Mus musculus: one gene and its partner. The protein of the gene in region 1 binds, or shares a complex with, the protein of each later gene. Links are inferred from orthologs where the notes say so. Each region holds a gene or a part of one and is shown in the gene's direction. Other genes may lie near its edges.

Region 1 (3,643 bases):
ACTAGGCTCACAGCTGGATACCTCTTCCCAGCATCTCACGGTCAGATCACTTCCATCTCAAGTGAGGCAGACAGTTCTGGGACCTTGGAAAGAAGAGAGGGCAGAGCCGAGCCCTGATGTTCTGATGGTCACGTGCTTTCTGCAGCTGTGTGTCTCACTGGCCTGTCCGCTGCGACACTCCTGGGCAGAGACCTGTTCTAGTTTCTTCTTCCTTCCTTTCTACCCCAGGCCCCAGAGGCTCCCGATGGCGAGATTATGGTGCCTTGGCTATCATCATGGCAGGAATTGCATTTGGCTTTCACCAACTCTACAAGGTAAGTGGCCTCTCAGGGCCACCATGTTATGCCCTGCCACCCTTTGGTATTCCTCCCTCCTCCCTCCTCTGTCCTCCCTCCTGGCCCCTGGCTTATTATGTACACAGGCATTCAGAGCACAGCGGCTGTGGTGGAAGCAGGGAGCACAGCAGGAGAGACATGAATGCACACAGCACTGCTGCTTCACCTCGCCACCCTGACTCCCACCCGCAGTATGACCTGATGGCCGGCTGGCTCAAGTATTTAGAGCAGTGCCTGGCACCACTGAGAAACATGCAGATTGCAGAAGCAGAGCGATTTAGTCGTTACGGGCTTGCACATCAGAGCCTAGCTATATGTGTTGAACCTGACTCTGTCCCAGAGTACAGCTCCATCCATAAGATGTTCCTGAGACAGATAGTCCGACTTTGCAGTGTTGTGAAAGTGTGCCTGCCCATATCAGTCGGTACTGTGAGTACGATACTCAGAAAAGGAACAGAGGCAGTGAGCACCAACAGAGGCTTTGATTTTAATGGGTTTGCCCAGCTGCTCCAGCAATAGTCTGAGCACACTGAAGGCAGAGCGGGAGCACAGGTCAGGAGTATGAGTGCATCTTCTCCATGTGATGGCTTCCAGCATCTGCAGAACTGGCCTCAGGGTTTCAGGGAAGGCCAGGAGTCAGTCCTGGAATAGTGCTGGAGCAGTGTTGGCTCCCTGCCTGCTGGCACGTGGGAAGCCCCATAGATGCCCTTGTTCCACCCTGGTATTTACAACTGGCTCAGGAAGCACACTTCTTGTTTTCTGTGGACTGTGGTAGCATCTGTATAAATGTGGGAGTTTCCCTGGGCCTTTTGAGTCAGCGAGCCCTCAAGAGCTCGTAGCTCACGATGCTCACAGCAGAACTAAAGGCACTGAACCAACATTTCCTCCCAATACCAGTGGAAAGGCCTGTCCTTGCTTTGGAGAAACTAATCTACAAGATGCACAGCCTGGATGGCCCCACATTTAGGCCTGCTTACCCTGGAGAGAAGTCATGTTCTCCACTGACGCCTCCCACTAATCCAGCCTGCATTTAGTGACTGTTTTTCTTTTCTTTTCTTTTTCTCTTTTTTCTTCTTTAAAGGACTCTACTGAATTCCCAGGCTTGCAGTGTATCTTTGAGCACATGAAATGTATTTAAACCTTGTTTAAACCTTAGATTCTTAGTTTTTTACTTCCTACAATAGCTAATGACAGAGTTGTGGCAGAATGTAACTCTTCAGGATAGTGCCTGATGCCAAAATAAGAAATGCCTGTGCAGGAATTCAGAAGCAAATTGTTGTCAGGCCTGGAACTCCCCCCTGAGCGTCTGTGGAGCCTGTGTGGGGCAGCCTTTCTTAGCCCACTAGCTGCAGACAGGTACCAGCAGAGTTCACAAGTACCAGGGTCCTGTGAGCAGCTCACAAGTGTCTCATCACAGTGGCAACCCCACAGAACAGGAGGTGTGGCACCTTGGTTCAGATATGACAGAGATTGTCATCTGTTTCCATGGAGCTCTGGCCACCAGCCTGTGTTTTACAAAGAAAGGAAACATTGAAATGTTGGTCACAATGGTGTCGTGTCTTCAGCATGTTAGTAGTATTCTTTAAGTATAGAAAAGTGGAGCTGTCTTGCTTTGCACAAACACAGACTTAGCCAGATCAGCGGCAACACTTCCCGCTCACGGGCTCTGGCCTCAGGGATGGGGGTCGCTGGTTATACAGCTGAGAATTTCTTGACTTTTATACTTTGGAAGCGTCAGGCTGCAGTTGATGAGTTTCGCTCAGTTGTGGGTAATAACTCACATTGTGGCTGCAAAGCACTTTGCGAAATAGAAACTGCTTCTGTGCATGTGCTAAATGACAAGCTCACTCTGAGTCTCTCCTGAAATGAGTTCTCCCACAAACCCCTGAGAGACCTGCTTCTCTTCCCTAGCACAGAGCCAACCGGCAGTGGAGAACAGTCCCTCTTTGACCTGTCTGGGACCCTACGTTCCCTCTGGGCAGCACCTGCCAGGCTCCTGTGGTTAGCTGAGTAGTGTGCTCTAGGGTTGGAGTGGACTGTGCCCCCTCGACTGGGGACCTAACAACTCTACCTCAGCCCTTGTTGTACATCAGCGTCCCAAGCCCTACAGGTGTGCCCTCGCCTTCCTAATGATGGAGAGGCTGGTTCCAGGACCCTTGTTTGGTGGCTTTGCAGTCACCAGCTTTGGCTTTCTGTGTCCCTTTCCCTCGGCCCCACCTTTGGGTTCTGGGAGGATATAGGCTGTCCTGGCTCTCTTTGTGAAGTGCGCACCTCCTGCTGTAGGGTGCTTTCCCTGTGCATGCCTTACCCTACCATGGAAGATGAACGATCCCGGGCGTCTGTTGATTTTCCTCTGGTTTCTCCAGTAATGCTGTGTTTACTCAAACCTAATACTGTTTCTGGATCGCTGAGGCGGTTTGTTTCCTTCGCAGAGTTGAAGTGTGAAAGATTCAGAAAGGGTGCGGTGAGAAGCTGCCTAGCTCTCCTCCCCAGGAGCCACCATAGGGTCCGTTTCTGGAACATCTTTCTGCAGTCTCTGCTTAGAACTTTTGAAATAGAATCTAAAAGCCTCACAGGAATGTGAGGTATCTAAGGGAAGTAAGAGAAAGTAATAAGGCCTCCCTCACACAGGGAGGACTTCCCAAGGCTGGGGAGTTAGCTCAGAGACGCTGCTTGCCCCCAGCCCCACCTGGAGGCTCACTTCCTTCTGGTCTTGGTCCCTGTTCAGGTGGAAGTTCTTACCAGGCCGGGATCTCAGGCTTGTAACTTTTTCAAGCACTTTGTTTCTAGTGTGGAGAGTGCAGCTCTTCTGTGGGGTAACCTGCAGAAGATGAGGGCAAGCAGGGAGGTGGGATCTGAGAGACCGGTGTTGGCCACCTCCTCACCTGACCACTTCTTGCAGAGGTACCTGCTGCCCCTCATCCTGGGAGGCCGAGAGGACAGAAAGCAGCTGGAGAGGATGGCAGCGAGTCTCTCGGAACTGAGTGGCACCGTGGCCCAGACAGGTAAAGATTAATGACTCCATCAAGTCACCCCTCAAAGCGTCCTAACGCAGCCCCTTCTCGGCCCCTCCCTCTCCCTCGTCTCCACTCTGTGGTGACTTCATTTATCTGCTCTGAGAATCTGTTCACATTTGCAAATGAAGCCGCCGTCATTTCGGTTTAATTTGAAATTGCTTGTTTACTGTCGGCGCGGCCTCAATTAATTATGTTTTTACGGAAAGGCTCCCAACCTCAGAATATTAATAAGGGGAATAAAATGACAGCCTTTCTAAGGGCTGTAAAGTTCATTTTTAATTTCTGCTTCTA
Region 2 (3,743 bases), on another chromosome or scaffold:
TCCTGCTAATCAGTTACTAACCTCCTAGCAGAGTAGGAGGTTATGTGTGTGATGCGTTTTGAATGCTTCTGGGAGATGCTCTCCCATTTCCCCATGACCAGAAATTCAAACCATCATATGCTTTCCTTAAACACTGCTTTCTCCAGAGATTCTCCTGTTTTAACATATTCATCTTCCAAGATGGCATCCTTTCCTCCTTGGTGTGGTTTAGTTTATTCGTTGCTAGGTGTTTTTTTCTTTACAATGGCAGCCTGGAAACAGTGGACAGGGATGAAATTTGTGGTCAAGGAGAATGGGTGTATGTGTGTGTGTTAGGGCCTCTGAAAGATACTGACAGTGTACTAAAGACAGAAACATTGCACAATATTCTGCCTTGTTCAACCACTGCAGTTATAAGGGCAATTTCTATTTTCCCAGGGACGAATTTACACTGCCTGTGTTCCCTGAGGAAGGCTACCTTTGAAATCATCAGGGCAGCAAAGAACCAAGCCTGCCCCAGGGCGCCACCTACAGACTACCTGCTTCTCCCGCACCCCGGGTTGGGACGTACGTCAGGCCTTTCTAGAACCAGTTTCCTCCTAGCCCACCTACCAGCACTCTGAACCCCTCCCCTTCTCAGGACGTCAAGGAGTCCGTCGGTCTTGGACCTAGGTGAGCTATCAAGGTTTGCTTTCCAGTGTGACCTTGAGGTCTGGCACCCGAGCCATTTCTCTGGCAGATGGTGGAGCCTGAGGCTTAGGTTCATATTCCCTGATCAAAGGTATTCCTTGCCACGTTTCCCCAACTTGGAGCTGCAGGGAATCAGGCCATCGTGACCTTGACCAGTAGGAAAGAGGAGAGAGGAGTGACTCACAGCACTCTCCCCATCCATTACAGGATTGAGGTCTCAAAATGCGTTGGACCCTATTTTAGTCACCAGAATTTGTCATCATCCGGAGCTATTTTCTTCATTACGCAGAGATGGTAGAGGCAGGCCCCTGTCTCCTTGGAGGCTGTGACGCTGTCCTGAAGGAGCGTCTGTTGGAAGGGGGGTCAGGCCTAGGAGGCCGAAGCAGGTCATAGATTTGACCTCCGAAATCTCCCGGGCTCAGTTTGGGCGATTTAGAGGTGCAGGAGAACCAGGAAAGAGAGCTGAACCGTGGAACCTGAAACCTTGGTTTTTCTCCAAAGCCAGAGAGGCCTCTTCTAGCTCCAGTCCTCTGAGTTTTCCACTAATAAATCCTGGCGTTCTAGGGACTACTGCAGGTTTCCCCAATCCAACTGTCCAGGACTGTCTCCTTTAAGGATCTCGGCTCCGCCCATCACGCTGCGCAAGCTTGAGGCCCCGCCCCTTTACCCGTTTCCGTTGAGCTGGGCCGCAGCGCCGCCGTCCCGGCCCCTTTAAGGCCGAGTCCCGCCCCCTTGCTCCCGCCCCCTCCCTTCCCCCAGCCCACTCCGGGTGCCTCGGCCGGTCGGACGGTGCGGCCCGCGACGGCGAGCATTGGAGCCTGGGGGCGCGGGGTCGAGGCCCGTAAGTCCCCGCCGCTGCGGTGGCCTCGTGGGACGGGGTCGAGGCTGGGGCGACGGGGCTGGGGGCGCGGGGCGCTGGGCGGGGACGGGCGCGGCCGGGGAGGGGGCTCAGGTGACACGAGCTGGGATCGGGACCCGCAGCTGGCGCCTGACCGGGGGTGTGGGTCCCGGTGTACGGTGGAAGGCGTCCCCGCTGTCCCTCGTCAGGTTAGAGTTCGGGTCTAGCCGTGTTTATGATGCGCTCCCCGTGCTCCCCAGGGGTCCAGGCCCTTTTGTAGAGCTGCTGTTGGCGGGTGGTGTCTGAGCTGCCGTCCGCTGGAGGGGAAGCCCGAGCCGAAAGCAGCGTTTCGAGTGGGAAGGCAGGACACAGCCTCCTCTTGGACTCCAGACACACCTCGGGGGGTGGCCCCGGGGGCCTGGCCCTTGTGGAGCCGTCGTGGGCCCATCTGCTCTAGATAGGGCCTGAGGCGTGCGTTGGGAAAGTCTGGCTTCCCGACCACAGTTCTAATCTTCTGTCCATCAGGGAAGCTGCTGGTCACCATGGCAATGCGGGAGCTGGTGGAGGGCGAATGTGGGGGTGCCAACCCGCTGATGAAGCTGGCCACCCATTTCACCCAGGACAAGGCCCTTCGGCAGGAGGGACTGAGGCCTGGCCCCTGGCCTCCGGGAGCCTCAGCAGCAGAGACCGTGAGTGTTCTAGGAGAGCCTATTTCTTCCACCTGACAGCTGCTTTCTCTGTGTTAAAGTAATAGCAGTCACCATTCAGTAACACTGGAGTGAGCCTTGTGCGGCTTTACACAGACAAGGACTACTATTTTATAGACAAAGAAGCTGAGGCTTTGTGAAGGCTCTTGACTTGCCTCAGGCCACCTAAGCAGTAGAGTTAGAGTTGGGTTGTAGCCTGCTATTGTCTCTTTCCTTCTTATCTTAGGTTTCCAAGCCTTTGGGAGTAGGAACTGAAGACGAGGTAAACAGAGCAAGTTTCTTTTCTGTCTTTTTTTTTTTTTGGGGGGGGGGGTTGTGGTGATTTTTTTTTTTTTTTAAATCAGTCCACTCATACTTCAGTCTTTGAACTCTCTTTACCAAATGAGATTGCCTGCCAATGTTTTCGTCTACTTTTTGGGGTATTTTTCTGGTTTCCAAATTTACAGATAGATTTTTTTTTTTCTTTATTTATCTCCAGTTTTCGTTTCTCTGTCCAACATCAGTGGGCCCTGCCTCTGGCTGAGGCCCTCTGATCCTAATGTTCATCCGACCATCTCTCTGTAATAGTTGGTGTCAGAATTCCTGCAGGACCAGAATGCAACTCTTGTATCCCGAGCCCCTCAGACCTTCAAGATGGATGACCTCCTGGCAGAGATGCAGGAGATTGAACAGTCAAACTTTCGCCAGGCTCCTCAGAGAGGTGGGTTCAGGGCCTGGTAAGACGGGAAGAGGCCAGAGGGCTTCCATCCTTGGGTTTTGCTGGCATCGGGGGACTGAGATGCTGAGGAGAAAAAGGAGGTGTTGCCCATGAGTGAGTGTGAAGGAACCTGTTTTCTTTTTTTCTTAGTCTTCTCTTGTCTCTTTTAAGCCCCTGGTGTGGCAGATTTGGCCTTGTCTGAGAATTGGGCCCAGGAGTTTCTTGCAGCTGGAGATGCTGTGGATGTAGCTCAAGATTATAATGAGACCGACTGGTCCCAAGAATTCATCGCCGAAGTTACAGGTGAGGCTTGTGGGGACATCTGTAGTAGTTGTTAGGGAGCATTTACATGTCCTGTGTTGCTGGGCGTCCTGATTCCTCTTGGGATGGAAGGTGATTTTCGCTACTAATGACTTTTCTAGTTTCTTGATTCATTTCTGTAGGATGTTAAATGTGACTTCTTATAACAATTGTAGGTAATCAAAACATAATAAAGAGAAAAGTGGGTTTGGTTGGAAAAAAAAGAGAGGGGGTGGAGAGGGAGAGAGAGAATATGAATGAGAGATTAGATCTGCCTCTTTATCAGTAACTTGACTGCTTAAGTCTAGTGGAGAGGAGCTAGAGATTGGATGGGTAGCCCAGGAAGAGAGCAGTATTCATCTCGGCACCTAGGACTCTGGCAATTCAACCATCTTGAGTAGGACTGGGGTCTGAGAAAATTGATTGTGGAGTTCAGAACCCTGAAGTCTGGCTAGGCTGCCTGTATATATATTGGCTTTTCATTTGTAGATTGAACAAACTGTGGATAGAAAATGGAAAATGTATGTCTGCA

Evidence for each region. The genes of interacting proteins can lie anywhere in the genome.
Region 2: the proteins of Pex14 (region 1) and Pex5 are in contact, whole or in part, in an NMR structure (PDB 4BXU), measured with the Homo sapiens proteins. The link is inferred for Mus musculus from reciprocal best matches to the Homo sapiens genes PEX14 and PEX5. Residues at the interface, in NP_004556.1 of Homo sapiens: Thr31, Phe35, Asn38, Arg40, Val41, Ser44, Pro45, Thr48, Arg49, Phe52, Lys55, Lys56; in NP_001124497.1 of Homo sapiens: Glu59, Leu62, Val63, Glu65, Phe66, Leu67, Gln70.

The regions. Positions count from the first base shown.
Region 1 is NC_000070.6:148,967,221-148,970,863, reverse strand, and holds part of Pex14 (peroxisomal membrane protein PEX14), read left to right. Parts: exon of another isoform or gene 1-228; coding exon 229-314; exon of another isoform or gene 315-3,237; coding exon 3,238-3,340; exon of another isoform or gene 3,341-3,643. UniProt on the Homo sapiens protein: Component of the PEX13-PEX14 docking complex, a translocon channel that specifically mediates the import of peroxisomal cargo proteins bound to PEX5 receptor.
Region 2 is NC_000072.6:124,412,740-124,416,482, reverse strand, and holds the start of Pex5 (peroxisomal targeting signal 1 receptor), read left to right. Parts: upstream 1-1,415; 5' UTR 1,416-1,510; intron 1,511-1,601; exon of another isoform or gene 1,602-1,716; intron 1,717-2,032; 5' UTR 2,033-2,049; coding exon 2,050-2,196; intron 2,197-2,440; coding exon 2,441-2,476; intron 2,477-2,781; coding exon 2,782-2,914; intron 2,915-3,082; coding exon 3,083-3,214; intron 3,215-3,743.